Linked DNA regions of Notamacropus eugenii. The protein of the gene in region 4 interacts with the protein of the main gene of each other region in a biochemical or structural test. Links are inferred from orthologs where the notes say so. Each region holds a gene or a part of one and is shown on either strand. Other genes may lie near its edges.

Region 1 (7,903 bases), on a different chromosome or scaffold from region 4:
TCTATCACTTCTCGAGGCAAGCCATTCCACTTTTGGACAGCTCAAATTATAGTGGGAGCTATGTGTCAGCAATTTGCATCCTTGAATATTCCACTCCTCTCCCTATACATACTATTGCAAACATTGTTTCTACAATTTCTGTTATAACATTAAAGCGCTTAAGGGTATAGTGGGGGGAAATGCCGGAACTTGGAGTCAGAATGACTGAATTTGAATCTTCACTTGTTATAAAACAGTTATGTAACAATAGACTTCTGTTTCCTCATCTGTAAAATAAGAAGTTAGTCTGGATGACCTCAATCAACTCCAGATTCATGATCCTAGAACTCATTTCCAGGTGCTTCCCCCTGCCTCAAGCAGTTATCCTCTTGTCTTTTTTTTTTTTTTTAACTTTTCTTCTGCAACAGTGCAAATAGCTCTAGTGCATAACTCGCTTTAGGATTAGTAGTTCTGTCTGGAGATAAAAAGCACTCATTAGTTTCTCTTATCTTTCCCTTAGGTCATAGTCTTCTTCATACCTGGTTTAAAATAATATGAAACAAAATTCTTGTAGTTTCCAGTAGTTCTTCCACGGAAGTCCTTCTCTGATGCTTCATCAAGTTCTGGATGAGATCCTGAGCTCTCAAAGGCTAGGCAAGCAGAATACAAGTTCTGGCAGGTCCTTCCAAGCTAGAAAAACTTTAAGTCTGGCAGGTGAGAGACTGTAATCTATTGTGGATCAACTAGTCAGGCCAAGTTTGAAGGGGACCTATTCACCAGGCTGGCCACAAGGTGATAAATTTCTTGCCTACAACAACACTTTAAGACCATTAGCTAAAGTTAAAGAGGGATCCAATCTAATGATAACAATGATGATGACGGTTTATATAGTACTTACTGTGTGCTAGAGCTAGACACTGTGCTAAGCTTTTTATAAATACCTTTTCTTTGATTCTCACAACTAACCCTAGGTGGTTGTTGTTAGTTGATTGAGTCATGTGTGACTCTTTGTGACTCCATTTGAGATTTTCTTGGCAAAGACACTGAGGTAGGTACTATTGTCCCCAATTTACATTTGAGGAAACTGAGACAAACAGAGGTTGTAAGTACTGAGAAAGTACTCAGGGTCACCAAGATAGTTAGTGTCTGAGGCCATATTTGAAAAGTCTTCCTGACTTCAGACCTAATGTTCTGTCTACCGTACCACTTCAACGTCTCAGTCTGGTATGGAGGGTGTGGGATGTGGAAGGTGGAGAATGGGGTGGGGTAAGACACACAGCAGTGAAATCATGAATTCTTTAAGAAATTAAATAAATGAAACTAACTAATTATAAGGATATAAGTTAACCATGTGCAACTTAAATTCAGAATAGTTCATATCTTCTGTACATATATATATATACACACACATGCACACATACACATATTTGTATGTATATGTATTGTTTGTTTGTTTTAAACACCAGGTATTAGATCTGACAGCTTAAGTCAGGATTTTTCGATGTACTAACTGGCACACAATAATGCTAAAGCAGTAACTCCCAAAACTTCTCTGCCTCCAAGGAAACAATTGCCTACACATGTACCTCCAAAATGATAAAGGGAGATAATATACTTCAGCTTCCTGGGGGAAAAAGAGGAGGGGAGAATTAGATCATTTTAATTCCAGAGAAGGAATTCATAAAGCTAATGAATTTCAGACATTGATCTCAATTCTGAGTTTTTATGAAGTCACCATAATTTACTTGTATCTTACCTAATCTACCTGTATCTTAATACTTTTGTTCTATTACCCAAAAAAGACCACTGATATATTTGAATACAGGCAGAATTATCTTTTCTCATTTCATTAATTAGCACTTCATTGTATTCATACAAGTACTTTACAGTCATTTAATTAGCTATAAAACATTCCTTTGAGAGAAGCCCAGAGGCAAGTTATTTAATTTATATATCCCCAAATGGCTGGAATTATAATTCAACTGGATTTTGGGGATCTATAACTGTGGTTTTCTTGAGAAATAACTATAAAATAATCCCAACACTTTCTCATTTTTATTTGATTTTTTCAACCTACTCAGGCTCACCAAGACATAAAATAACACAACATTCATGGGTCTGGTAGCTAATATTACTAGCACCTGCTTTACAAATTTCAGAAATCTGTGAGCACTGGATTTGGAGTCAGAAGACCACAGACCCTTAATTAGCTGTGTGCCTTAGTGGGTGCAAGTAACTTAACCTCTATTTGCTTCAATTTCTTCATCTGTAAAACTACTCCCCAGGATTGTTGTGAGGATCAAATGAGAAAATAACTGTAAAGTACTTAGCACAGTGCCTAGTACCTCGTAAGCACTATATAAATGTTAGTTAGCTCTGATTATGTGCATACTATTGAGCTTTGGAGGATGTAAATGTAATTGGAAGGAAGATTCTAAGGGAATTTACAATCTGATGATCTGGACTCTAATATATATGAATTTAAGTTTAAGGAGCTATCTTTTTGCTTGGACTATAGTCCAAGTAGTCTTTAGTGATGACTTCAGGCTTCTATTTTGCCTTTTCCCTTGTATATAGTTTCTGGAGAGGGCACAAAAAAGGGCTTTGAAATTGCATTTGCTTCCTCAACTCCACGTGGCCTGTAAGCTATCTTCTTTACTCTCGAAGAAAAGTTAAGAAACTGCTTCTTATAATGACTTCTAAAACAATTCCTTTTTTCTTGTTCTGAAACTAGTCATATTGAATCTAGTCCAAATTAGATGATGGCATTACAAGCCACCTTACTAAAAGATGCATAACACCTCTGCTAGAGTACGGGCTTCATGTAACTCAGTTTCCTATGTCACTGTGTAAACTAAGAGAGGAAAAAAATTATATATCCCTCCCCAAAGAAAAAAAGACCCTCTTAACTCTGCTATGTAACATACAACAAGCCCATTAATACAGGATTTCCTTTCTTGACGTAAAGCATTTAACTCCAGTCCTCAAAAATACTTAAGATTTTAATGCTTTCAACTTTGCTTAAGTGTAGCATATTTTATTTAAAATAACACTGTTATTTTACAATTTTCATAAAGAACAAAATAAGCATTATTTAGTCAGTATTCCTTGGCTTAATTTCGATTATTCTTAAAGATAGAAAGCACTTTCTTCATATGCAAGGTGGGTGGCAAACATGAAGAGCACTTTATGTCAGATAAATCTTGCCATAAGTACCATAAAGAAGTGAATATTTTGGGCCAGTGCATAGGATTATTGTACCATAGATAAAAATTTTTAGCTTTTCAAAACGTACCAGCTGCCTTAAGCTTCTCAATTTTTCCTCAAATTAATTATTTCATCGTTTTTAGCAAAACAGATTGGGTTTTGAGATAATGAAATTCTACTAGGTTCTGTTATATCAAACAACTTAAACCTTCTTCAGTCTATAGATGTAATAGTTATAGGAGATAAAAAACCAACTCAAAATTCTCAGCACAATTGTGTCCAGTATCACCTAATTTTGTGTTTGGTATTGGGCTCATTTTCTCCATTATATGTAAAGCCATATATTGAATTTAGCTAGATTATTTTCTAAAATAACTCAAATATCCTGAGAGCTAAAGCTTAAGGAAGACAGTAGTGAAAGAGTCAATGAATACAAAGCTCTTCAAAATTAGGCTCCAACCTGCTTTTTCCAGATTTATCCAGTTAGCTCTTTGACACACACCACCATGCAGAGCCAAACTGGCCATCCTACCCTTCCTCGAACATAGGATACTTAGTCTTTCCACAAATTGCCCCCCAAGCCTGGAATGCACCCCCTATTCACCTCTACCTCACAGAATCCTTAGTTTCTTCCTGTGCTCGCCCCAGATCATCACAGCATGGTGTTTCTCCTGATCACAACCACCTTACCCCCAATATATTAACTTAGAGTTTGTGTATATTTTGTGATAATCATTATATAAAAATATTTTACAGTTCTATACGTTCATACACGAATATAGTCATTGAGGGCATTTCCCTATTATTTTGAAATGTATCCTCCAGACCTGGCAGGGTGCCTGATTCCTAAAAAATGCCCATTTACGATTACTTCGCAATCGAAAGACCAGGGGTAGTCGTCTAACTCCAGTCACTTCCGTCACACTTTGGGGGCCTCCGCTTACTACCTTTACTTCCCAGTAAATCAGATAACGCGCACCAAGCCCTCCGCACATCCTCCATCAAAAGGCCCTTCTTGGGCACGACCTGTAAGACCCACAATTGCCCAGCGCGGGGCTCTCGACCTTTTTGTGCCATACACCTCGTATGCCAGTCTGGTAAAGCCTACGCATCCCCTGGGGTATTTTTTTTAAATACTTTGGTTTTTTAAAATTAGGTTAATTTATAAAAGTAGGAAATGCATTATAACGGTTAGTGAAGAGAAAGATTTCGGCTGTTCGGGTTGACATTTTTTCCCATCCAAGTTCTGATACCTCCTGAGACCTCTGCACAGATGCCCGGGGTTTCTGCCCCCTCCAAGGTATCCCCCAAAGGCCTCTGCCGGCCCGACTTTTCTTCGCCCAAACCGTTAGCGCTAAGACGAAGCCGGCCCCTCGCGCCCCGCCCGCCCTTTTAAGGAGGGGCGAAGGGGCGGGGCCTGGCGCGAGCCGGGGAACCGAGCCGAGGCGGGGGGAGGACGGGGAAGCCCAACCTCGTGACGTCTCGCCGCGTCCCCGATGAAGGGGCGGGGCCGGCTCGGGCCGGCTCTTGGCAGCTCGCACCAGCTATCTTTCCCTCCGCCCCTTCCCCTCCCCCCCAAAAGCGCGGGCTGGCCTCAGGGCCGAAGTTCCGCTGGCCGGGCTCGGACGCTGGGGGAGGGGGGGGAGTGGAGAGGGCGAACGCCTCACTGCAGTCCTGCTCCTTTACCGGGACCGCTTCTCCGTCTTGCCGACGCCCGGAGGTCTTTGTGCGGAGTCCGGCTGCCCCGCGTTTCCCCGGATCTTTCGGTCCCGTTGCCGGGAGTTCCCCCCACTTCCGGTAGGGTGGCGAGAAGCCATCCCCCGTCTCCCCCCACGAGCGCGCCCTGGGGTAAGTGGTGAGTCGGCTTTGGGAGCGTGCTGGGGAGGAGTGGGTGGAGGGCGGGCGAGTGCCAGGACTCGGGTCCCGGCTTATGGTTCAAAGTGATCCCAGAGAGGCTGCCCTGTGGTTCCACGCCTTCGTTTGCCGGATGAGGAAACTGAGGCCCGGAGAGGGGCCGGGCCCGGCCCCGCCCCCTGCCCGTGCCCGCTGCTTACGGGCTTGCCCTCCTGCCGGGCTCGCTGAGGTCGGGGGCGCGGGACCGGTCCGCTGTCCGGTCTTCCCCCCATGAGTGGAGCGACTTGCCAGGGAGACCCGAGGGCGAGAACCCGGCTGCGTGCCCGCGGCGCCCGGTGCCCGGTGCGGGGCGAGCCCTGAGAGCGCCGATGGAAGCTCGTCCGTCAGGGCAGGGTTGCCTTCTCTTTTCTTTTGGTCTTGTAAAGCACTGAGATTGTCTCGTCTCGTCTCAGTTTAAATTAAGTGAGATAACTCCCGCCTCTGTGTCTAGCTCCTTATCTTTGCCCTGAGCTCTAGTCCTATGCAGGCTCTTCATACAGTTTTAAACTAAGCTGAAAAGATGTTTGCGAAACCTTGTTGGACATCTTTAGTGCCTGAATTTCAGTATGTCCTCCTTGGAGCCCCAAACCCTGAATGCCCTTCGAACTGCTTCGTCTGAAGAATTGCCAAGACCTGTAGGTTCTGCCTTGGCAGTCTCTCCAGACCACACGTTACCACTGCCTTAGTTCAAGGCAGTCCCTCTCTCCCTTTACCTTTCTCGTGGACTGTTGCAGTAAGTTTCCTAACTAGTTGCCCTGCCTTCAGTCTCTCATCTCTTTAAAATGTTTTTTATATGTTTGTTAAAATGACCCTCCTGATGCGTTGATCCCATGTTGTCATTCCCCTTTTGCCTGTAGGATAAAATAAAAACTCATTTACCTAGTAGTGAAAGACCTCTAGAATCTGATTCCAAACTACCTTTGCTACCTTATTTCATTCTACTCCTATTTGCTTAGGTGTCTGTACTCCTTCCGGCCATATGCATAGACTGCCCCCCTTGTCTAGAATACAAGAATCTGTAGATTTCTTGTTCACAAACTCTTCTTTCAAGTTTCACTCAGCTCAGGTGTCACCTCTGTGAAGTGTTCTATTACGTACGTGCTCCAGCCCTCTAAAGTGATCTGTTTCTACATTTTGCTTGCCACTTTCTCTAGATCTTTCATATAAGATTTAGTATTAAAAGAGGTCTTGGAGATTTAGTCCAGTTCTTTTTAAAAAATGATTAACCCTAGGCCTAGAAAATACACATGGCTAACGAACCAGCAGAGCTGCAATTTAAACCCAGATGTGCTAACTCTAAATCTAGTACTTCATAAAACTTGTGTATGTGTGTGTATGCTTTGTATACATATAAAGGGTTTATCAAGCACTATATATGCTTGATATATATGATATATATGCTTGTATATACACACACATATACATGATTTATAAAGTCCTTTACCAAAACAGTCCTGCAAGGTAATCTAACTATTTACAGCAGAAAACAGTGCTGGATCAGTCAAATCTTGAATTCAAATATTGGTTCTTGTACTACTTCCTGTGTGATCCTGAATAGATCATTTGATTTCTTTGAGCCTTATTGTCCTGGGTAATTACATGAGGATGTTAGATTAGATGACCTCAAAGATCCTATCCATTCCCAAATCTGTGAAACTCTGATCCCCATTTTACAGATAAGTAAACTGACACGTGACTTGACTATGATTACACGGCTAGTAAAATGTTGGAGCTGGAATGGAACACAGCTCTCCTAACTGCAAGCCTTAACCACCCTTCATCACATGCAGCTGCCTCTAGAGTGAAGGGTAAAGGGTAAGTATCGAGCACAGACTGTGATTGTCTGTCTTATCTATCACATTAGATTGTAAATTCCTCAAGGACTGAGACTTTCATCTATTTATCCTTAGCATCACTGCTTTGCCACCTAGTGGGTCATTAACATATTGGCTAAATTGATAAGGTTCATAATTAATTTTACACTCAAGATAACAGATTAGCACAGTTCTAGGGAATACAAAAGTATAAGACACCACACTTGTCTCATGAGGAACTTAAAATTTAATTGAGGAGGTAGCATATTTTAAATATTTAAAAGAATTTGACAAGGTAAATGCTGTAGAAATTCAGGATAGGAATGGTTCACTGCAAGTTAGAATTTCCACATAGGATCATAGATTTTAGTGCTGAAAGGGAGCATGGGGGCATATTGATAAAGGATTTTAGAATTTATGAAAATAAAATAGGTTATAGTGCAGAGAATACATAATTATGTCTTCTGTAGGATGACTCCTATAAAGTAAATAGCTTTCTTTTATAAACTGTAGTAGGCCTAAAGGATAGGTGGGAGATCCTAAAAGTTTTATCACTCATGATTGTATCGAAATATAGTGCATTGTTTCACAGTTTATCTTTTCAGTTTTATTATCTGAAAAGCATGTTGTGTCTTTTAGAGATACTTAATCTCTATTGCCAAGTACAGAAATTTTGTTACAGAGAATTAGATCTAGCAGCCCATTTAGGTTTTTTTTTCCCCTTGTTTGGGACTATCGATTTCTTTTTTATTTTTGTTCTCCTTTGAACATTTCACAGAATCCACATTTTACTTGTGTCATACTGATCCCCAGGTCATATTCCCCTACTTTCTTGGCTTTTAGTACCAGGTTCACAATATTAATTTCCTTCCCAAATCCTGTTCTACTAGGGGACTTGAATAGCCACAAATGTTCCATTCTCCCAATTCTTCAGTCTCAAGTCCTATAACTCACTTCTTTACCTCAGTCACATATAGGGGGAATCACAAACTAGAATTCATTACTAATCC
Region 2 (7,925 bases), on a different chromosome or scaffold from region 4:
GTTAACAGTAGGAAGAAAATGGGAGTGCAAGATGGGAAACTGAATATGGAGGGAGAAAACAACTTGGGAATGGTACTTGGGAATGGCATCCTCACATAATACCTGGCTCATCTTCCTCCCCTGGGCCCTCCTGGCTCTCTTCCATCTCTTCCTCTGAATCGGTGAGCTCCTCATCTTCATCTTCATCCTCTTCCTCCTCTTCATCTTCATCATCATCATCATCATCTTCATCTTCATCCTCCTCCTCCTCCTCCTCCTCTTCATCTGTCTCAACTTTGGAGACAGTGGGGCAGGATGTGGACTTTTCTCCACTAGGGCCCTGCAAGAGAGGGAAGGCCTTTAATGAAACCATTCTCCTAAATCTTTATTCTCCTGAGTATTTCACCTCCCACAACCAGTTACTCTCTTCCCCACAGATTCCCTGTATAAGACCTGGGCAGGATTCAGTCCTTCAGAAATATCTGATCTGACATTGGCATCCCCTGTCCTGCCTCCATACCTCTCCCGAGTCTGTGGATGCTGTTGGAAGGTCTTCATTGTGAGGAGAGTTTCCTTGGCAAAACCGGGCTCTCCTTCTCTGTCTCTCACCCTCTTCACTCTCATCTTGCATCATTGCATATTTAGAGATCACTTCATCCAGCCGACTGAGTGCCAAGTTTCTGTTCTCCCGAAGCCTACGAGCCAGGACAGGGTCTGACAATGCAGGGTCAATGCCTGAGGTAGGAGGGAGGTGTGCAGTGTGAAGACATGGAACCAGAACGCCTAGCTCCAAAGCCTAAGGAGTAACACCCTCCCCACAGGTCTAGTGTGTGTGGCCCCACTCCCTGTACCTGGCCTATAGTCATCTGTGAGGTGACAGCCAAAGTTGTAGACAAGATCAAGATGGCGCCGCTCCTGTAACTTGGTGCCAACATCTCGAAAGGCATCCTGAGCGAGAAGCTGGAGCTGTCGCCTTGGGAGGCAGAGGCCATGTCTCGTGGCTGCCTTCTCCACAGCCCGAAGGACATCCCCATAGTCAGGAAAGGTGTCTGGACCAGGCCTATTGATGAGACGCTCCACACGGCGGTTGACCTCTGGGTATCGAGTGCCCCGATAGGGTATCCGTTGCTCAGTCACACGGCCTGTCAGGGAGCTACATGCTTTTAACTCACACAGACGCCCAAAGAGTCCTAGCAGCTTGCGTTTCAGCCGCCCCTCCTGCAAATATGCAGAGTCCGGGTCATCTAGCTCCGATAGGTCCAGCTCCTTTTCTTGTAGTCGTTTTATCTCTCCCACGTACAATGCCAGCAGCTGCTCTAAGCGCTGGATCTGTCTCCGTGAACCTCGGGGTCGTGGGGAGCCAGGAGCAGTTTCATTGGTAGGGGCAGGGTTGGAGGAAGGATTGGCAGGAGGTGCATCCCCAGGGGGCTCAGTGGAAGCAGGGGTCAGGGGCACCTTCCTTTTGATCGAGTGCGCTTTGAGCAGTGTACAAAGCTCATTAATGAAGACATAGAGCTTGGTAGGCCGGGTTTGGGCACGAGAGAGGACACGAGACAGCACATTTCGGAGCTCAGCTGAGGCCAGGAACGTAGGACGAGCACGTTGCCTTCGGTTACAGAGGTATGGGACGACCTCAGGGTGTTCTCCAGTTTGCTTCTTACACAGATCAAGAAACTGGGGTGGAGCAGGGGAGGGTGAAGGGGGAAGTCCGAGGGATTGGAGGAAATGAAACAAGGGAGAAGGTTGAGAAAAACAGAAAGATAGAGTTAGTAGGACAAAGTGATTAAGGACAGCTTCTTTGGCTCCCCCTCCCTGGTGCATAAGAACCTTCTCCCCTGCAGCTCACCTCTTCAAACAGCTTCTCATTCTCCAGCTGGTAGCATTTCTTGCTGCCCCCACTACTGCTGCTGCCTTCCCCACTGGACTGGGGAGAATCAGAGGTTGCTGCCAGGGGTTGGGCCTGATTTGGGGGTGGAGAGGAAGGCCCTGGCTGGGCAGCTGCTTCATCCTCCTCCTCATCATCCAGTACGATAATGCTGTTAGCGGCAGCCATGGGGGGAGCGAAGCCCCTGGTGGGGGTGTTGGGGATTTCAGGAATCCTGCTGGGGGGGATGGGGCCTCAGAGACAGCCCCTCCAGGACATCCCCCCCATTCTCACACCTTATAGCATCAGTCTCACGTTACTCAATAGATGCCTGCTCCCCCCTCCCCTGCTCATTGCCTACCCAAGGATTTCTCGGTCTGACCTCCCTGTCGTGAGAGTGTCTAGTCCTCTGAGACAAGGCTGACTCCACAAGCTTTCTCCAAGGCCCCCAACCTCCTCCCCACCCCAAAACTCTAAAGTCCCACCCATTTGGCTCCAACCCTCAATCCTCTCCCCTCCACTTCCGGTCCCATCTTCTCTGCTGCCAGCCACCAGGATCTTATTCTTTCTTAAAACATCAGCCCTGTGTCAGGCACCAGCAGGGCTGCCATCCTTGCCCTCCGTGCGGCCCATCTCACACCCGTTAAAGACCGATTCTCTCTGCTCCGCTCCTCAAATCTTCATTCACCCAGCCTCTCTGTCTGCCTGTCTGTCCTCGCCTCTCCCTTCGGGGCTGTCAGCAGCGCAGCAGTCCCGGGGCTTTCCTTGGGCACGGGCCCGGCGGACGCTTCCTCCTGTCCTCATGGTCCCCGCTCACGGCCCCCTCGCCGGACCGCAGAAGCCCCTAGCCAAGCCCCCCCGTAGGCGCTTCTGGGCCCCCGCCCCCCCATTCTCGCACTCACTCCCATACACATACACACACACACATATATATATACATGCGCGCGCGCCCCCGTGCGCGCACGCGCTTCCTCCTCAAGGGAGAGTCTCCGGCCGCCTTCCCCCTCTCCCCACCCCAGCCTTGTCACCGGGTCCTCCCCTCAGACTCTTCCCTCCTCCCGCCTGCCTCGTGAGGCCCCCACCTCAGAAACAGTCCCTACGCCGCGGCCGCCGCCTCCACCGTCGCTGTCCGTCCCTCCCCCCTCCCCCTTGCCCCCCGCTCCGTCACCCTCAGCTCTCCCTCTCCCTCTCTCTCACACTCTCCGCCCCCCCTCCCGCGTCAGACAACGCGCAGGAACGGAAGCGATCATGTCTCAGCCCCGCCCCGTACGTCCCTGGGCGCCGCCATCCCACCCTAATGGAGTCAACCGAGGGATATAGGAAGTGACGACACACAAACTACCTGCTGGATCCCTCTGCGGGAGACGGACTGCAAGTCTCCCGGTGGTTTCATTGGCCCACTCCGACCAAATGCCTCAGAGGGGAGGGCTTCTCTGAGGCCTGAGGACTCGGAAGTCCTTGAGGGGAAAGGGGGGGCCATCTTGCCGTACGGCATTCCTCAAGACTGAGGGAACCCAATCTAATCGAGGCCAGGCAGTGGGGAATGGATATACCTCCGGGGATTTGCCAACCCGTGGTCACGAGATGGAACCCTTGCTCCACCAATCAGACACCGGCGTCCCTCTGCTCTCCCTATCGTTTGCCCAATAGCGCTCCCAAACTAGTATTGGCGGGTGGGAGGGTGCATGGAGGGGGGCGGGGAGATCACTGTAGTGGACCGTTCGGTCCATTGCGGGGAGGAACCGTCTGTCCCAGGCCTGCCAGAAGGACTTAGGCGAGCTACGAAGGGAAAGTTTTCTTCCAAGGCTTATATTGCTGTCTGACCCTGCCTCCACCTCTGGTGCGTGCCCAGGCCACTCCGACCTTCCAAACCGCCTCTTGGAGCCCCAAGAACCGGCCTGGGGGCTGCGGGTTCTGTGAATCGGGATTATTCCTCTCCGTACGGAATGTGTGCGCGTAAGTAATCATTCTCTCCACCGCTCAGGAGAGTCATGTAAACAGTAGCGATCTCGAACCTTGGGGGCCGAAGAGCAAAACGCCGACTCAGCGTCAGTGCCCTCAAAGGTCACCGTGGCAACCCAGGGACGGGAGAGCTGGCCCCGCACACCCGGCGCTGCGGCTTACCTGCCGTACCGCAAGATGGCGGCCTCCAGGGCGTGGGGATGCGCCCGTCTCGCCTTGCGGGGTGGGGGCGGGGAGCTCTTGCTTCAGACTCTCTCTTCATCTGGGGGTCCCGGGGCTGGAGGGGACCGCCCTGTGGGAATGGCCGGTGGACCCTGAGCACTTAGTGATGATGGGGAAGGTGAAGGGCGTCCAGAGTCCAAGACTGGAAACGAGGCTTTTAAAAAACCAATGGCCTCTTTCTGCCTGGGCGAGTGGGGGGGAGAGAAGAGGAAAGGAGCGGAGGCTGACGCTTCTCACAGAACCCCAGCTTTATTGGGGGGAGTGGGGAGGCCGGGGGGACACAGGACTGGTCCTGGCGCGTGTTCTGGTCCCTGGCGGGGGAGAAAGCAGGGTTAACAAGACTGGGGCAGCGGGGGCGCCCCCTCCTACCTCCCACGGAGCCTGGGTATGTCCCCCTCTTTCTTCAAGTGTCCTAGCTACGGAGGAGCCCTGGGCTCTAGTTCTGCTTCAGCTCGAATGTCTTCCCCTCTTTGGGACTCAGTTTCCTCCTTTATAAAGTAGCAGGTGAACTAGATCATCCGAGGAAGCTGGGTGTCGCAGAGGACCGAATGCTGGGCCTGAGTTCAAGTCCTGCCCCGCACACTCGTGGGCAAGCTGTTTAAAACCTGCCTGCCTTAATTTCTTCCTACTTAAAATAGGGGCCGTAATAGAACCTCTCACCTCCCAGGGGTATAATCAGGAACAAATGAGATAATATTTGCAAAGCACTTTGTAAACCTCCAAGTTCTCTGTAAATACTAGTTATTATTATTAGCTCCCCTTCCATGAGGGGCTCCCAGCTGTCAGCCCTCCACCCAGGGCTCTTCCAAACTTTTTCATCTTTGGAGCCTCCCATGGCCCTCCCCTCCCCCCACCTTGTCAGAAACTTGTCTGATATCTTACAGAAGCAATGGGAGCCGTTCACTGTGAGCTCCCTCTTCTCTCTTCCTTTCCTGTTATTCTCTACTCCTTTACCACCGTCTCACATGATTCCTCCCAGGAAACCTCAATCTCTGGTCCTGTTTCTCACCTGAGTTGAGAGGGAGGAGTCATTCAGTGATTACAGCTCCAGTTCCTCTTCTCTTTGAGGTGTTCCAAGCAGCCAGCCCCAGAGGTTTGCCCAGGGTATTGGCCACAGCAACTTGTAGGCAGCCTCTAGCATCAGCACTGCCAGGAAGAGGGCAAGAAAAATGAAAAAGGCCCTATCTAGTGCCCGAAGAAAGGGGCCCCTGGGAGGAGTAGGTCCCTGGGCAAATGCCAAGAACACATCTCCCTCATCCGTATCGCCCTCCTCCTCTGCCATCCTGACTTGAAAGCCTTAACAGCTGAGCAGATCACGCTGTACAGGATGGAGACACTGGCTCAGCACTACTTGGATTAGTGGTAATTTAGGGGGGAAGGAGTTTTCTTGTTGCATCTATCCTCTGTGACCTAATTCTCCAGAGACAGAAATAATAACTATAACATATAGCCCTTTAAAGTTTTCAAAGTGATTTACATATATTAGTATGCAGTCTTAGAAGGAGTAGACTATTAGACTGAATCATTCAATCACAAGTGTAAACTATAGGTATATTAATCAATTTGAAAGAATTGTAGGACTGATCATTGGATGAAGACAGATAAATGACATCACACTGGAAAAACCTGTGTTTATAGAAATAGAAATATACCTGGGACCCTAGTTGTAGAAGAGTTACAATCCTGTGGATTCAAGTTTTATCCAAACCTGTAAGAGGGAATTGCGCTACCTATTAACCATGGTATTGTAAAGATGTTATTGGATCAATAATAGAGTTTATCCAGCTACTAGGCCAGTAGCAGAGAGTACATATGGCAGGGAGGCATCAAAGACCATAAAACTCTCATGGCAGAGAGAACTGACCAGCTATTAATTCTATAAGTCACTGACCTTCCAAGCCCAACAGATGCTGCTACTCCTCAAGAGAACTTCGTGAAGATTCTTTGAAAGAAGAACCAGACTACTACTAACCAGGAATCTTGAATTACCCCTTTGCCATGTGTGCCTCACACCCTTTGTGCTTTACATTTCTACCTGCTCTATCCATCAATCTTGTGTGTTTTTGTTGGGGAGTATACCCAGAGGTGGGGGGGGGGGGATTTTTTTTCCCCAGCTACCATTCTTGCCACTGTATTTCAAGTCTATACCATCATAGTAAATACCTTCATTAAAAATTATTTTGAGGACATTAGAGGATTATCAATGGGAAGCACATCAGTGGGGGCTCCTGAGCTAGAAACTCACTTCCTCACAGCTACCCCTAAGACACTGAAAGTGGTAGATAGTCACTCCGGGAATTCAGCTGGCCAATATAAATGAGAATTGGGGAAATGGCCAGAGGGAGTGTTGCCCATACATTTGAGACATGCCACAACCCTTAAGATAGGCCCACTTTACAGATGATGAAATAAGGCTCAGAGAGCCTTATTATTATTGACTTACCCACAGTTACACAGATGCTGAGTATGACCAGAAACAAAAAAATTTCCTGATTCCAAAGTCTGGCTGCATCTGTTATACCTCCAGGAACTAAAGGCTTTTCATTCTGACATGTAAACAGTCCCAAATGCCCATGGTGCAAGGGCTACCTGTACTGACACCACATTGACTGTACTACTTGATCAGGAAAATCCTTACTCGGGAGACTGAAATTGGCAGCTGGGCCCCTGCACCATTCCTCTTTCCTGCCATTACCTCAAAAATATGCAACAACTTCTAAATCCCAAGTCTGCCCAAATAGGTCTATGAGCGAAGGAAGCACTGAATCCTCTTCCTGTGTGTAAGCGTAGGTGTTCCTGCAGACCTAAACTTCTTCTCGTATTTGAGAATTCTGGGGTACTGGTTTTCATAGAAACAAACCTATGGAATGTCAGAGCTGGAAGAGACTTCAGCAATAATCTAGCGTAAGGAAGGAGGAGACTTAGGCTCACCGAGGGGGCGTGACTTGTTCCACAAGGTCTCACAGTGAGTTTGTCAGTTTATAAAATTGTTAATGATATGACAGTTAATAAGAAATAATTTTGAAGAATTGTTTTGGGAGTAATTAAATCTTGGTATCAGTAAATGAATATCTAATCCAAAAAGTCAATATTAATACATCTTTTCATTTTAGGAAAGGAGGAAAGAGATGTTAGAAATTTCCTTTTTAACTGAAGAGTTACATGCACTAGTGGGGCAGTTAGGTGGTGCAGTGGATAGAGCAGGATAGAGCAGGTGAGTTCAAATCTCACCTCAGACACTTGACACTCACTAGCTGTGCGACCTTGGCCAAGTCACTTAACCTCAATTGCCTCATCCTGGGTCATCTCCAGTCATCCTGATGAATATCTGCTCACAGGATTCAGATGGCTCTGGAGGAGAAGTGAGGCTGGTGATCTGCACATCCTTCCCTCAGTCAAAACAAAGTCAAGTGCAAGTCATGTCATCATTTCTCTGATGGCATGGTCTTCTTTGGCAGCAAAGGACAAACATACACATGCAAATAATCTCTCTGCCATAGGATCTTCCCTTTACTAGGGCACTGGAGGAAGATAGGTGAGTGGGATAGGTGAATACTTCTTAGTAACATGGCCAGATTAAGCAGGTCTAAGTTTCCTTTTCCCTAAAGTGACATGATTAATAGAAACCCGAAATTTATGAAACCCAAGACCCAAGTGCCACCTCAGCCCACGCAATCCAAAAACGATTATGAATTTTGCTTGAAATCTGTATTGGCTGAACTTCTGTTTCCTTGTTCCGTGTAAGGGGATTAGTTTTCCGTGTTTAGATTGTAAGCCTGACCCCCAGTCAATGGGGGGAAAAGGGTCAGCTGTTGGGGGGGGTGGTTTGGGGGAGTTTCCGTGTTAGAAGTATATAACCACACTTTTGCCTTCTGTAAGCTGCTTCTCCCTGACTGCT
Region 3 (6,995 bases), on a different chromosome or scaffold from region 4:
ATTTCTGTTGTAATTCTTGCTATGAAAGAGTGCACAGTGCTGAAGTAAATGCTTCTGAAAGACTCATTATGAAATACTGGAAAGCAAAGTAGACTATACTAAAATCGTATGATATAGTGCTAACCAGAAGGAGAATAATACATAAATGTTTTCTTGATGATGTGTGCTAAAGCAAAAGGCATTTAGGAGCAGGGTTGTCAATCTCTGAGGGTTCTGAAAAGAATTGCTATTTATGACGTGTTAGAGTAAACAGTTGGATTACATTTCTGAAATGCATGTTCCATCAGGTAAAATCATTGTGATTACAGGCACTAGTACTGTAAGTAAGTAAGTTATGTGCTAAAAGGTTGAAATTGTAAAACAAGTATACTTATGCTTAACTGCTAATCCCTCTTTGTATCTACACTGAATAAACTACAAGAAAAGGGGGAAAAAAGGACATTTAAATAATGAGGCAGGAAAGGCATGTTATGTCATCTTGATAAATAATGGGCTTTATCCACCATAAGGAATCATTCTAACAGTGGCCCATCCAATAAAGATTATCCCAGAGTTAAAGGAAATAGGAAGGATTATAAAGAAGTTATTTCTGCTTCCCTCTGTTTAAGTAGATCGGTGTTTCTTTTGTTTGCTTTTAGATTTTTCTTAATTTCTGCTTTATTTTCTAGTCTGTCACAAAAAGCACAAGTTGGCATTTTAACCACTGTACAGAAATAAATTTAAAATAAGAACAAAATAAAAGAATGACTTAAAGTGCTTTGCATTTATTTGACAACAGAAGATAAAAAATGCAAATAAACCTTTAATATTCCCTTAATCTAGAGTATGCTATGCAAATGTCAAGACAATATATCTATAAAAACAAATCAACAAATATTTGAAGAAAATCAATATACACAACTTATTTTATATATTGAAAACAACTGTCAAACAATTATGACCTCATGTATTAGTTGGTTGTTTTGAAATATTCCTACTAGGATAAAAAAAGGGCTAGGAGGGCCTTTGAGCTTGAACATATTGTGTCAATCATGAGCATATGCAATGTATCTAAAGCATGAGGTAAAAATTTTCTTCATAAATTATTTCATAAATAAATAAGTAATTTGCCTGAAAAGGTTTACGAAAATATTTTGTGCTTTTATTAAGTTCTCTACAGATCTTTTGTGGTCAATGTAAATGGATTGATATTGACATCATCTTGATCTGCTTTACTTTAACTTGAAATATAGAAAGAAAGCAACTAGAAGAGATTTTCCTTTTTTTTTTATTTCAGGGAAATGTCAGTAACATTGAGTTTGTGAAAGAATTTATTAAAGCTTCAATTTTCAGTGATCATGAACAGCACTGATGGGTGTTAGTACCTGAAGTGTCACTTCAGCCTTTCATTTAAGGGACATAATTGATCCTTAGACAATTGGTCTTGGCTTTTTGTATAATATATAATTTAGGGTGTACTTGTTGGTAGAGTTTTACATTATTACAGGTAGAAAAATGCAGGTCATTTCAAAGCTTTTGTCCTTTTGAAGGCATGTACTTTAATTTTGCCCATTTATTTAATCATTGAGTATTTGCTATAAATAAGATTTGTATTCTTACAAGTTAAGTTGGAAATAAGGAGAACTAGGAAGAAGCTCATTTAACTTTAAAATTTCTTCTACCAATACAGTTTATCTATGTAAGATTTTTTTTGGAAGGAGAAGAGAAGAGGGTATAGAAGACAGCCCTTGTTATACATTTACTACTTCAACCTTGCTTCTAAGATCCTCTAGCCTCAGATAATTTTATTCAAATAACAGCTTCAGTCATTTTCAGTATTTTAACCCTTTAGCATATAAACTTTTTTGTGAGAGTAGCCTGGTAATTATCAGAAACATAATTTAAAGTCTACTACCTCGTATTTATATGGTAGACACACTCCATAAATCAAACTTTTAAGTATGTCATGGCAAATGAACGTCTTACTCCAATCTTTCTTTTTGGATACAATTCTTTTTGAGGTGCCACACATATTTCCATGTAGGTCAACAATTTCATTTATAGCTTTTTAAAAAAAATTAAAGGTCTATTTTAAAAATATAAATGTCTTTTACTGTGGAAATTGGTGGTTGACGATATTAAATGACTCCAGTGTATAAGTATGCAGATGGCTATTAGTAGCTGACTGTAAGATTTACTGAAGATTTTGATATTAATTTTCCCTTCATGCTGGACTTTATATAATATATATTGTATAAATGTAACTCTGTTCCAAAATTAATTTCAATTGATGATAATATATGAGTAGTTCTATGTATATAAGTGGTTAGTGTTCTTATCCCACCTTCAGGGAATATATTGTGTGCCTCATTGTGAAATTGTATTTTGACTACCCCTTTTGCTTGACAAGTTTCTCTATTCCAATGAATTATTGCCCTTTTACCCATAAAGAGTGTAATAGACACCTTACAAAAATACTTAGGGGATAAACGTGTACTAAAAAGGAATCGCCTAACAAATCTGCCTGTCTAGGTATGCAATAAACATAAATGGAGATCATACAAGAGAAGAATGATGACTCTAAAAGACATATGCTTCAGTTTTCTAATTTACATTTGATTTGCTTTTTCATCTCAGAAGATAGTCTATATCACAAAATATGTTTACCATCTTCCTTGTAAAGAAAGACGAAAGAACCATTTTCCGGGGAAAATATTTTTTGAGGAAATTACTTCATTTTTACCTAACATTTTCATGATCTTGCCTTTTTAATTTCTATTTTAAATCATTTCATAATTTTAATAAGCTGTTTCTCCATTGAGCACAGAATTAGTTCAAAATGACTTGTACAGAGGAAAAACATGTCACTTAAAGTCATCCAAGTGAGAAAAAATTATGTCCAAATGCCCAATAAATGTTTATTTTTTTTTAACACCTACTATGGTTTGAATATTCATGGTAATTTTTTATACGCTGATGAGCTTTAGAGGTGAAAAACATCATATTCAGAAACAGTCAGGAATTGATTAGAAACAATGAGGGTTCTCAAATAAAAATGTGAAATATATTTTTAAAAGTCTACAAAAAAGTCTATTCATGGCTCCTTATCTGTTCACAGAAAAGCCAAACAATAACTATTCATCTCTATGAATATTGGAAAGACATTCCAGTTTTATTTGCTTGATGGAATCCCTGAACTTATCCCAGAGAGGTATCCTTAGATCAGAAAAGTCCAGTAACATCCCTCTGCACTTTTCCAACTTAGGAAAAAGTTCAAGTTGTTCTGTCCCAGCTCTCTTGTAATAAAATGCAAGTAAAACACTAACCACCAAGGAGGTGGCCTTAGATTCCTTTATCTCTCTCTCTCTCTCTCTCTCTCAAACACAAATACACACACGCATAAATCCTGTGGAGTCTTAATAAAGAGGTAGGAAAAGAAGAGAAAGTAAATAAAGGAAGATAAAAATTTTAAAAGACTTAACTTTCATAGAACTCCTCCCCTCCTTTTAAGTCATAGCACCAGTCTCGGGGTCCTTTCTTGACATTAGTTCAGGCACCCCCCTCCCCATCCTCCCCATCCCCCGCTTTCCTTGCCCTCCCTTTAAGGTAAGTGCTTGATGGCTTTGCCTATTCCCCATAAAACTTTCAGACTCACCCCCCCGCTCCCCTTCACTACCACAGAGATATAGATAGAGAGGGAGGGGGTACAGTGCGGAGGGAGGCTGGTCAGCTTTTTAGATGGGGTCGTGTAAAATATCACGGTAAGAAAGCCCGGGTGTGTGTATGGGAGTGTGGGGGAAGGGGGTGGCTTCCCTTTCGGATGTTCCACTACAGTGGAGCTCTTTCAAACTCGTAATAATTGTCTGCTCCCAAGCCGTCCTTTCCCCCTTGGCGGCCGCAGCGGATGCTGCCTTGGGCTCAGGAGGAGGAGTTGCAGGAGGCGGCAGCGGCGGCGGCGGCGGCGGTACTGTCTCTTTAAGGGAGCTCAGGCTGGGGTGGCGCTTTCCTCTGCGAAGGCTCCTTTGATATTAATAGTGTTGGTGTCTTGAAACTGACGTAATGCTCGAGGTCCTGACAAGCGATAACATTTCTGATAAAGAACTGATCTCACTGCAATCTAAAGCCTCCTCTTTTTTGGTGCTTGTTGTTGCTCCAGACCCTGGGTTTTCGCTTTTTTTTTTCTTCTTTAAAACAGAAAAGCAAAAAAAAAAACAAAACCCAAAAACCCACATCAGGCACATCCTAGATCTATTTCCTTTCTCTTTCTCTCTCTCTCTCTTTAAAAGAGGGGGGGGAGGGAAAAGAGAGGGGGGGAGGCAGGAAAAACCTTTTTTTTCTCCCCCCCTCCACACCACCACCCCCCCGCCCCCCCTGAATAATCCAAGATCAACTCTGCAAACAACAGAAGACGGTTCATGGCTCTAGCCACCGCTCCACCATCTTTCGGGCTGCTGAGGTTATTATTGCCGATTAATCAACAGGTAAGGAGGAGGGGAAAAAAGGCAAAGAGGGAGAGAGAGAGAGATCAGCAGGAGGAAAAAGAAAGGCATGGGGGTGATCAGCTTTTCTTTCTCGCTACGTAAGATAATATTGCGCACGCTGAGTGTGGCCATGCTAAAGTGTTCTCTGTGTGTGCGAAATGTGGGTGAGCTGAGAGAGGAGGATTGGGAATTAAAAGTGACTTTCTTTGCAAAACGGAGAGAGAGAGAGTAAAAAGCAAAGCAGAGAGGCTTCTCGGATTTCACATGCATTTTTTTATGCGTGTGTGTTTTCTTTCTTTTTCCCCCCTTTCTTTTCTTCTCACCCCCCCCCCCTCCCCGGTTTTGGTGGGTCAAAGGCATGTGAGCCCTGGAAATTGGCGACTTCAAACTGCAGTAGCCCCTGGAGTCAGGAGGGTCAAGTTCAGCTGCTGAGGAGGAGGAAAAACAAATCCCCATTTGCCAAAAAAGAAGTTTCAGGGCTGATGTCCCCCCCACCCCCTCCCTTTTCCCCCGTTCCCCTCTCCCCCTCGTCTCTTTCTTTCTGATTTTAATTCCCTACCATCGGGCAAAGTAGAAGAGCAGGAGGAGATTGCAACTGAGGAGCTGCTGCAGTCATAGCCCAGGCTGCTGCTGCTGGTGTTGTTACTGCCGCCGCCGCTGCTGCTGCTGCTGCTGCTGCTGCTGGAAGTTTTATGGGAATCATGACAAGCGGGGCAGAAACTAGAGACCATCATGAAGAGTAGTAAGTTGGGAGAAACTTTTTAGGGTTGGGAAGGAATGAAAGGAGAGAGGCGAAGCGAATGGGGTCCTTTTCCTGGTCCTCTGAATGGCAAGGAGGACCTGATTCTGGGTGGCTTTGAGAAAACTATCAGACCCAGGCATAAAACTTTTTTTCCCTCTCTCTTTAGAGGCAGAGTTTCAGTGTCCCCATATTCTGGTGTCTGTGTCGGGAGTGGTTTCTAGAGTCTTGGGCCAGTTTGCTTTTGCGATTTTCATTTTGTATGACAGGGCTTTAAGAAAGAGACGGTTCTTTAAATGAATGGGGGCTGTGAGAAAGAGGAAGACTTCCTATTTTAGTCCATGATGGGAAAGTGTGTTGGGGGTAGTGGTGACAGTGGGGCTAATTATTAAAAGCTACCACAGTAGTTTGAATTTAAGTGGCCCATGGAGGGCTATGCAAGCAGTCTCTCAGCCTTCTGAAGCTGGTGCTCCCTGGGCTTTGATGTTGGTCTTGGGAAAAGGATCTTTGAAGGGCCATGGCAGACACCACTGTGCCTCCAAATATCTCCACCATTCTAGGACCCCATGAGCAATTTGAGGATGGGACCTGGGGTGGTAGTTGTTTGAAGTTGTTTTGTGACTTGGAGAGCTTTTTTGTTAGTACCTGCCTGAGATGGTGGTGTTTGCCTGGGGAAGGCAGTAACTTTTATGGCTTCAGGACTTTAAAGCAATTTATGTTTTTCGGGATTGAGACCGGATCTTCGACTCAGTAAAATTAGGTTCTCCATTCTCCCCCTTCCTCGTTCCCACTCCCATACTTTCAGATTTCAGAGTATTGATCGTTAGAAAGTTATGGGCAAGAAAGCTTTAAAAGATGAAGGAAAATAAAATTCAAATAAGATTATTTCTTTTCTCTCCTATTCTACAATTTGATGCTGCTTTTGAAAAATTGGCAGTAAACTTTTAAATGAGGAAATGTGAAGTATAAAGTCAGGAAGAGTTAAGTTATGCAGAAGTTAAGTAGATTTGTTAAACTTTTCTAAATTTACCTGGAAGAGAGAGGGAGAGGTCAGAGAGTCAGAATAAGTACAAAGGGGCAATCCAGATAGGGCCTGCCTGGGACAAAAATCATCCAGTAATGATAACTAAAGCCCTGCACTTTACTTACTTTGACTAATAAAAAGAATAAGAAAGAAAGAACCTCTAACTAGTCCATCAGAAATCTCTAGCGATGAAGTGAAAAACCTATGGATTTTGATGGCATCAAATTACTTTCCTCTTGTTTTTAGGAAAAGTTGATCATTTGGAAAAGATTGCCAGAGTTAGAAATGCAAGGGGGCAAAGGAAAGTAATGGTGAAAGCCAGTGCTTGACGTGGACGAAATGAGAATGAAAGTTTCTGAACTGCATTCACTGTTTTTGAAGTTCTTACATGATGTGCATTCAACTAGAAAGCTGTCTCAGATATTCCACCACATTAATGTAAAAAAGCAAACAAACTCCAAAACGGCGAGAATTTTTTTTAATAGTATGCCAGGGCTGTGAATAAATACAGGGCTTGTATGAGAAAATGAAGTATTTCCTGTAAGTTGTCATGCTGACAACGCTGTCTGGAAATAATACTAGCACTTTAAAGATTTTATTTTATTTTTTTTTTATTTTACGTGAGTTTATTAATGACTTGATTTATCCAGCAAGTCAAAGCTATTCTCCTTTGAGTTTATCTCCTCCTCCTCTGCCTTCTCCTCCTCCTCCTCTTCCTCTTCCTCTTCTTCTTCTTCTTCTTTCTCTTCTTCTTCTTCTTCTTCTTCTTCTT
Region 4 (8,014 bases):
TGGAAACAGCCCAGAACCCATAGTCCATGAGTCCTAGGAACAGTGGCCCTTGACCACTTTTCTTGCTTCCAGCTAAGCTGAACATCTCAACCACTGCTGAAATACAATAGCCTCTAAAGACTCAAAAAAGAAAGTTCTTGTCACCAAGTCCAAAGCCCTGGCCAATGGTTCAATTTCAGAAACAGTTATGATTTTATCAACAGAAAGGACATCAAAGGATATTACATTACCGCCCGCTTCACTTCTGCACTTCAAGGACACCTGTGCCTTTCTACTTGATTTCAATCTGAAACTTCTTTTAGAGAAAAGATTATACCCCCAGAACTTTTTAGAGTGTTTTGCTGAAGCAGGCATAGTCATTCATTCAAATAGTTGAAGGACAACTATGGGGAAGAGAGGTTGGACTTGTTCTACTTGCCTCTGGATGGTTGACCTAGAAGCCAAGAGCAGAAGTTATAGAGGCAGGTCTTGACTCAGCATAAGAATTAATTTCCCAAACAGTCTGAGCTATCTAAAAGTGGGTTGCCTTGAGGCGATGGAGGTGGGACTAATTAGTTTCTTGTTTCTGTAGGTGTTTGGAGGGTGAATGACTACTTCCTTGGGATGTTATAATTTGGATTCATGGGCCAGATACTGGTTGCATTACTGTAGATGGCCTATGTGGTCCCTTTCAACTTGAAATATTGTTCCAGGATTCTGGGAAATAGCTATAGTACACAAGAGACCATGTCCTATATTGACTTTGCATGTATTTTGTAATTCACTTATCTGTGTACATAGTATTCACTTTCCCACAAGAGAACTCAAGTTTCTCCAAGGCAGGACAGTTTTGTTTCCTGTTTTTGTTTCCCCAGCATCCTGTCTATCACAAAGTGAGTGCTGAATAAGTGCTTGTGGAATGAAGACAGACTTATTTTTAAGGTATGAACAGGGAAGGATCACTTGTGAAACCACGAGGAAGGTGGAAGCAACAAGGTGGTGCAGTGGATAGAGCACTAGGCCTGGAGTCAGGAAGATTGGAGTTTAAATGCAGCCTCAGAGAAGTGCTGGATGTATGCCACTGGCAAGTCATATAACCTCTATTTGCCTCAGTTTCCTCATCTGTAAAATGGAAATAATAATAGCACCTACCTCCCAGGGTTGTTGTGAGTCTCAAATGAGATACTAAAAGTGCTTACCACAGGAGCTATATAAAAGCCAGCCATTATTATAAGTCACTTATTCTTGCTAAGTAAGAGATGTATAAGGGCAGAGGAGTAGCCCAGATTCAAAGTGAACTCATCAAATATTTATTAAGCCATCCACACAACATGCTGGGAACACAAAGACATAGGTCAATCTGACATGGCCCATACTTAGGACTCACCCTCTCAAATCCCACTCAGACTAGTAGGCTGGGTCCCTACATCTCCTCTCAAGTTTTAGGAGGCAATGCTGAGGGGCCAGGAATCACTTTCTAGTCTTATTGTCATGCTTCTACCTGGGCTGTTCAGGGAGGACTAGCACTTCTGGTGGGAGGGCTTACCAAATCCATTTCAGGGCTGCTCAACCTACCTGTAGCTCCAACATGGTGCCACATGTGGAGTGGCCACACCCCAGTAAGACTCTCTTAGCAGATGGGCTAAATTAGGTTGAGAGTAACCAACAGGCCCCAAACCCATTGATGGGTTAGGAGGATTTCCACCCAAAGCATGTGAAGACTTACTCAAGTGGAATGGGCAGATGAGAACAATTTGTTCCAACAACCGTGAAGGTAGATGAAGCAGGCATTGTAGAGCCCTTAGAGCTTGGTAAGACAATGAATACACCAAGGTCCCCTACTGCATCCCAGGTCATTACCAGCTGTCCTGACTTTTGTCCTCCCACAGGACTTCAATGACTCTGGAAGAAGATGGTGAGGCTGGGGACTTTGTTGAATGTTGCCTCACTTAAATTCAGTTCATTCATAAGTCAAGATATCACTTGTGATGTCATTAATCCTCTTCCAAAATGAAGGACAAACAAAACATCACTGATTGTTGATTTCATTAGCTTGTAGAAATAGATGGTTTACTAAGATGGTATTAGAACAGTTACTATAAAACACCCCATGTCACCTCACACCAGAGGTATACTCCCACACAGTAAATCCAGAGTCCAGAGGAAAGTGGACTTAACCTTAGAGAATACATGTGGCAATGAGTTAACTCACAGCTCTTGAAGATCAGAAGACCTTTTCTCCCATTTGTAGAGTCCTCTGAAGGAGGAGCAGTTTTCTGCTGGGCTCCTCATAAAGTCAAGAAACTCTTTTCCTAAAGTCTAGTTTGTCCTCAATTCCCGAAGAAAATGCTAACAGCAACTGTGATACCAGGAACACTGGTAGAATACAAGAGAATTTTATATCCTCCAACCCTCTGAAGTTCAAAAAGAGATGGAAAGAGAAAGAGGCCTTTCTCTTCCTAGACAAGTAATTCCCTCCTAGGGACTTAGCTGGAACTCCTCGGACCCCCGAGCTGGCCTGTTACTCAAATCCCAGCTGAAATTCCAACTGACTTGTTATTTTATACAGACCCACTTGGCTCTTTAACCAATCCCAAATACTTTCTGTTCCTCATCATTTGATCTCAGTCAATGACTTCCACTCCTTCCAAACCGTTTAAGCATTTTGTGCACCTACTTTAACAGTTCTGGTTGATTGACTCAATAGAAGTGTTCTAAGAGAGGTAAGGTAATTCCTTAAAGTGGGATGGGGTGACTGATGCAAACATTTAACATCCCAATGCCTTGTGATGGTAGAGTTAGGATCTAGAAGGGACCAAGGCTCTGAGAACTCATAAAGTCTCCAAGAAAAAGCCAAAGTCCTAAGGATTTTCCCTAGCCTCATTACTGGGAATAGAAAGAGCCCTCTCTTTCTAAAAGAGCTGTATCTTAAGCCTTTAAGGTAAAAGGAGAGCCAGCTGTGCTAATTCTTTAAGAGGTGCATCTTAGCACCTCTAGGCACCAGCTGCAGCCAAAAGCTGAAATCAATCAGTAACTAGGCATATACTAAGAACTATTTAGAGCCTATATAAACCATAAACTCATTTCCAATGAACCCAGTTGTGGTAGAAGTTACAAAATAATCAGAAAAGTCAAGTGGTAGGAATGCCTAACAGCAGAGACTACACATCATGCCCAGAAAACCCACCAAAGCCTATACACTTGGCAGAGACCAAATGCCTCAGGATGTCAGTTGAAAGGAGGCCCAGCAAGAGCAGTGCTATAACAGTACCAGAGAACATCATTATTAGGTCAAAACTGTAAGTCTGTCCTGTGTGTCCACTGGCCTACATGTCTACCCTTCCCAATATCTATCTGTGGATGTGTCTGCATTAGATTTATGGGGGAAATGTTTTATTACTTTTCTTTCCATGCAATTTCATTAAATGCCTTTGCTTTGAATTAGTTGTATGACTGATAAGTAAACACATCATCGAGGGCATGTGAGTTTTGATCTCTGCATCTGAAGCGATACAGAGCACCTTGGAGGTGGGATACCATGTTTGGCAGGACCTTCTTAAGAGTTGAGAGGCATTGCCAGGTGATACACAGAGGCAGAAAATGAAACCATTCCTGACCTCAATTAGTGTACAATCTACTTGAGAGGAAGCTGTTGTTATCCAGTTGTGCAAGCCTCTCTGTGACTCCACTGGGAGTTTTCTTGGCAAAAAAATTGCAGTGGTTTGCCATTTCCTTCTCCCACTCATTTGACAGGTGAGGAAACTGCAGTACACAAGGTTAAGTGGTTTGTCTACGGCCACATGGCTACTCAGTGTCCAAGGCCAGATCTGAACTCAGCAAGAAGAGTCTTCCTAGCTCAAGGACCAGCAGTCTATGCACTATGCCACCTAGCTGCCTTAGGGAAGGAGGCTTTGTGTCCACAAATAAGATACAAAATAAAACAGCACAAGAGCAAAGGAATAACTCCAGTTGAACTAATCTACGAAAATTTGGGGTGGATCAGAAAAGGCTTCAAGGAAGAGGTGGCCCCTGGGCTGAAGGAATGGATTTTGCCAAATGAAGAAATAAAATATATCCCAGTTATAGAGGAACAGCCCACGCTCATCCACAGCTGAAATTGCATCATGGACAGTGGTGTGTTTTATTGTATAGGCAACAGGGAGCCACCCATGTGTAAAATTACCTCTAAGGTTCTTTCCATTCTAAAGGTATATCACTTCCAAATTGGGGCATCAGAGGAAGACTTCTTGGAGAATGCATGAGAGCTGGGTCTGGGAGGTGGCACGAGAAAGGTATTGCTAAGGTCTCTTCCGATCTCTTGGGACAGACTTAAGCAGCTTCTCCTAGATGCTGATGGACGTCACCTTTTCGGCCCCCTCCATGGAACGTCCCCAGCTCAGCCTTTCTAATCTAGCAAACACAGAGACCCATGGGTAAGGCCGGAGATGACCTTGGGAATGGGGGGGTCTGAATTCGAATGCCTCAATGACCTTGGCCCAGCGCCCGGCCTCTCTGGGCCCGGGGGCCCCGCCGTCCAGGAGAAGGGATGCCTTCCAAGCTCCCTGGCAGCTTCCAGGGCTACGAGTCTACATTCGGAGGACCCCGGGGCGGGTAGTGGGAGGAGGCCATGCCCGAGCCTCGCCGGAAGCTCGGCCTGGTTGGGCCCGGGCCAAGCCGGGGCTCTCGAAGTCTCCCCCCGCCCCCGCCTGCTCTGGACCCAAGCGAAGGAAAGTCTACACTACATACGGGAGGGAGGGCCTCGAGTTAGGCCGAAGGAGGGAGGCCTTTCGAGGATCGCCCACTAAATTCCTCCCCCGCCCTGGCTCCGGGTCCTTCGCTCTCGCCCCTCCCCCACACTGTAGCCTGCCCCTCCCCCATTCCTCTCTGGCCCCCGCTGTCACTTAGGGACCGTCTACAATTCTACTTCCGTCTATCCGGCAGGATCCGGAGTTTTGTACCGATCCCTCTCATTGGTTGAATATGAGGTAAGCCCCGCCCATTTCTCAGAAGTGACCAATCCGGAAGGGTTTCAGAGGTCTCTGTGCTTGTGGGGATCATCTGGACACTGAGATGCTCGGGTTGATCTGTAGGCCTCAGTGGATTTTTCCCCAAGATTCTTGGTTCTATCTGACTAGGGGACCTCGGGGATTGGAAGCCTTGGGGTCTCCCTCCGAGCATCCGAAGAGCCATTGGGATTTCCTGCGTCCCCTTTTCTGTATTCCTTCAACGCGTATCTTCAGATGAACGAACTCATTCCGAAAGGTAGTTTGCAGATGATCCCTAGTATTAGGGTCGCGGCTCCTTTAAGTGTACAGGTAGCTAAGTCCCTGCCTGTGGAAGAAATTACTCCTCGGGGGTCCCTACGCCCGAAGTTCGTACCCCGTCGTGCTCCCTGGGGAGGCGAACCCGCCTAGCCAGTGGGGCCGGAGGGACTTAGAAGGCACGGGCGAGAAGGGGTGGGGGAAGGGGAGCCGCAGCAGCGGCGGGGGTGGAGGCGGCGGCAGCGCGCGGGCGCAGGCGGGCGGCGGGGCAGCCCGCGGCTTCCTCCCCCTCCCCCCGCCCCGCCCCGCGCCGCGCCGCGCCGGGGTCCTGCCGTCTTGGGTCCGGCTGCGCGCGGAGCGGGCTCCGGAGGGAAAGTCCCGAGACAAAGGGAAACGCCGCCGTAGCCACCGACCATCCGGGCACCTTCCGCCTCTATCCGGGACACTTGCCGGGGGCCGCGGCCGTGCTGAGGTGAGGCTAGCCCCTCTGGGCCGGGCCGGGCAGAGCTGGGCCCGGCGGCAGCGGCAGTAGCAGCGCCGCTCTCCTCCTCCCTCCTGGCGAGGCCCGGCCCGGCCCCGCTCCCTCCTCTTCTCCCGAGGCTGCAGCCATCGGGCCGTACCCGGTCTGGGAAATGGAGCGAGGCTTCCGGGCCCGGAGACCGGCTGGGAGCTGGGACGCTTCCCTCCCTGGGGACTGGGCCGGGCCGCTCCGGCGAATCTGTCCTCCCCGAGGAGGCTAGGGTGGGGGTGGGGGGGCAGTCTGGCCTCGGCCGCCAGCTGCTGTCCTCCATCCCTCCCTCCTGGGACTCTCTGAGGCCCCCGACGGGCCACTCAAAGTAGGTAGACGTGGAGGAGGAGTCATCCAAGCCGAGAGGTCTCGGACAGAAGAGACCCAAGAGCTCGTCTTGTTCGAGGCTCCTCTTCTGTAGAGAGAAACTGAGGCTTAGGGAGGCGAAAGGGACTGGCCCAAGGTCACACGTCGAGATGGAGTCGCCTCCCTCCTTCGGCTGCCTGATTGTTCGCATTAAGTCCTGTTAGTAGAGAGATGGAGGGATTTGGGGGAGCTGAGAAAGGGGTACGTAAAAATAGCGCAGAGAGCTGTCCTGGGAATGTGGTGGCTTTCTTAAAAACAGTATTCCAAGGCTGCTCACATGTTCCACCCTGTCTCTCCAAACCCCCCTCCCCCATGGCATCTTTTCCCAACAATTTTGAATGATCAGACTTCTAGGTTGTGTGCACTGCTGAGGAACTTAAAGGCCCCTGGAATTGAGTTTTTCTCTAAGTACGGACCCAGTTATCCGGTGTTACGGTAGTAGCACAGCAACCAAAATAATACCCACGTGAAACTTCAGTGAGAGGCTGATGGGATGAGTGAATTATAGTCCAAAATTCCCTGTGATCTTACTGAAGTAACTTTAAAAATGATCTAGAGGTAGAGAAAAACTCAATTGGGTTATTTAGCTTCTCAGTGATAGTAGGGTCATTTTGACTGCTCCCACTTTTGCCCCACCTCCGAAAAAAAAAAGTAACAATCCATCAGGTCTTTGAAAGGGACACACAGCCAAAATGGGATTGGTTGGATTAAGAGAACGTGGGATACTCATTTTTTTTTATTTTTTTTCCCCGTATTCTTGTAATCTCTGGGCTTGATTTTATTGTTAACAGCTCTTGGGTTTGCTAGATAAGACTTGCCTGATAGAGAGCCGAAATTGACAGAAGTTAGTAAGAGGGAAAACTGGATTGCCCTTTCTTTTATCCTTTCATAGTAGAATCTATATACATCTTCTTACCCCCTACATACTCATGCTTTTTTGAAATCTTCTCTACCTTTATTCTTGAATTCTCTTCACTTTTTAAAGAAAAATATCCATTCCCTCTTGCATTTTTGGCAGTGTTTCAGAGATGCCTTGTCCCTTTAGGAAGAGTGAAAGGACAGTCCAATTTTCAGTTGTGAGAGGGGAAGACAAAGTTGGCAAGAACACAAAATGTACCATAAGTCCAACAAAAAAGACTTTTTTACAATTATTTCTTTGGTTGTTAGGCCCAGTTAGCAATCTTAAACATACAGAAAATTTGAACAGACAAAGAAATGACTGTCAGTCATTTTTTGGTTTTAGTGGCTTAAAATCAAAGCAACATTGCTAATACCAAAGGTTTTCCTGGAGTGTACTAATTCCAGATGATGGGACGCATTAAAATTTTTTTTAATGTTTTTGTTTTTCACTGTCACAGTTAATAGTGTTGTTATTATGGGGATGATTAGAATAAAGTTGCATTTAAAATAAAGTGAAATTAGAAATTCAGCTCCATAATTTAAACTTTTTTTTTAAACTTAAACTTTTTCTAGACTTAAAAGGAATGGTGGTTTAAAAACATCTTAAATGTCTCATTAATAGGGAAAATGCTGTTAGAATCTGATGTCAAGAGGGACTTTTCTAGGATTTAGATAAATTTTGGATTCATTACAAATTTATTGTGGTTCCATTACAAAAATAGATCACATCCCAGAGTCTTGAATGGTTAGGAGATAGATACTTTAGAGTGGTTTCAGTTTCTAGTTCTGAATTGTTAAACAGATGTGCCAGAACTTTGTTTCACTAAGTGATGGATCTCTTAGTTTCTGTTATGTACCTGAGGGTTATAGAAGGTGTAATGGGAATATGAAGCATTTTAAGTGTGATTCAGTCTATCATGTAAGGATCAAGCCATTATCAAAGGGATTGTAAGGAAGAAATAAAATTGCAGTATTTCAGTTTAACTCTGTGCTTAAGAGC

Evidence for each region.
Region 1: the proteins of UBE2I (region 4) and RBBP8 form a complex in vitro, tested with the Homo sapiens proteins (2 studies listed by BioGRID, with this or other methods). The link is inferred for Notamacropus eugenii from reciprocal best matches to the Homo sapiens genes UBE2I and RBBP8.
Region 2: of the proteins of UBE2I (region 4) and DAXX, one has a biochemical effect on the other in vitro, tested with the Homo sapiens proteins (5 studies listed by BioGRID and IntAct, with this or other methods). The link is inferred for Notamacropus eugenii from reciprocal best matches to the Homo sapiens genes UBE2I and DAXX.
Region 3: of the proteins of UBE2I (region 4) and TRPS1, one has a biochemical effect on the other in vitro, tested with the Homo sapiens proteins (2 studies listed by BioGRID). The link is inferred for Notamacropus eugenii from reciprocal best matches to the Homo sapiens genes UBE2I and TRPS1.

What each region holds. Positions count from the first base shown.
Region 1 is NC_092875.1:246,866,827-246,874,729, forward strand, and holds the start of RBBP8 (DNA endonuclease RBBP8), read left to right. Parts: upstream 1-4,896; 5' UTR 4,897-5,034; exon of another isoform or gene 5,035-5,041; intron 5,042-6,755; exon of another isoform or gene 6,756-6,894; intron 6,895-7,903. UniProt on the Homo sapiens protein: Endonuclease that cooperates with the MRE11-RAD50-NBN (MRN) complex in DNA-end resection, the first step of double-strand break (DSB) repair through the homologous recombination (HR) pathway.
Region 2 is NC_092873.1:89,342,492-89,350,416, forward strand, and holds the start of DAXX (death domain-associated protein 6), read right to left. Parts: upstream 3,017-7,925; 5' UTR 2,926-3,016; intron 2,079-2,925; exon of another isoform or gene 2,049-2,078; 5' UTR 2,033-2,048; coding exon 1,826-2,032; intron 1,654-1,825; coding exon 831-1,653; intron 715-830; coding exon 500-714; intron 320-499; coding exon 103-319; intron 1-102. Other genes in the region: SMIM40 (small integral membrane protein 40), read right to left, coding at 5,067-5,309. UniProt on the Homo sapiens protein: Transcription corepressor known to repress transcriptional potential of several sumoylated transcription factors. Down-regulates basal and activated transcription.
Region 3 is NC_092875.1:130,540,490-130,547,484, forward strand, and holds the start of TRPS1 (zinc finger transcription factor Trps1), read left to right. Parts: upstream 1-3,989; 5' UTR 3,990-4,460; intron 4,461-4,816; exon of another isoform or gene 4,817-5,192; coding exon of another isoform or gene 5,193-5,202; intron 5,203-6,995. UniProt on the Homo sapiens protein: Transcriptional repressor. Binds specifically to GATA sequences and represses expression of GATA-regulated genes at selected sites and stages in vertebrate development. Regulates chondrocyte proliferation and differentiation.
Region 4 is NC_092872.1:49,691,982-49,699,995, reverse strand, and holds the start of UBE2I (SUMO-conjugating enzyme UBC9), read left to right. Parts: upstream 1-5,011; 5' UTR 5,012-5,241; intron 5,242-5,504; exon of another isoform or gene 5,505-5,712; intron 5,713-8,014. UniProt on the Homo sapiens protein: Accepts the ubiquitin-like proteins SUMO1, SUMO2, SUMO3, SUMO4 and SUMO1P1/SUMO5 from the UBLE1A-UBLE1B E1 complex and catalyzes their covalent attachment to other proteins with the help of an E3 ligase such as RANBP2, CBX4 and ZNF451.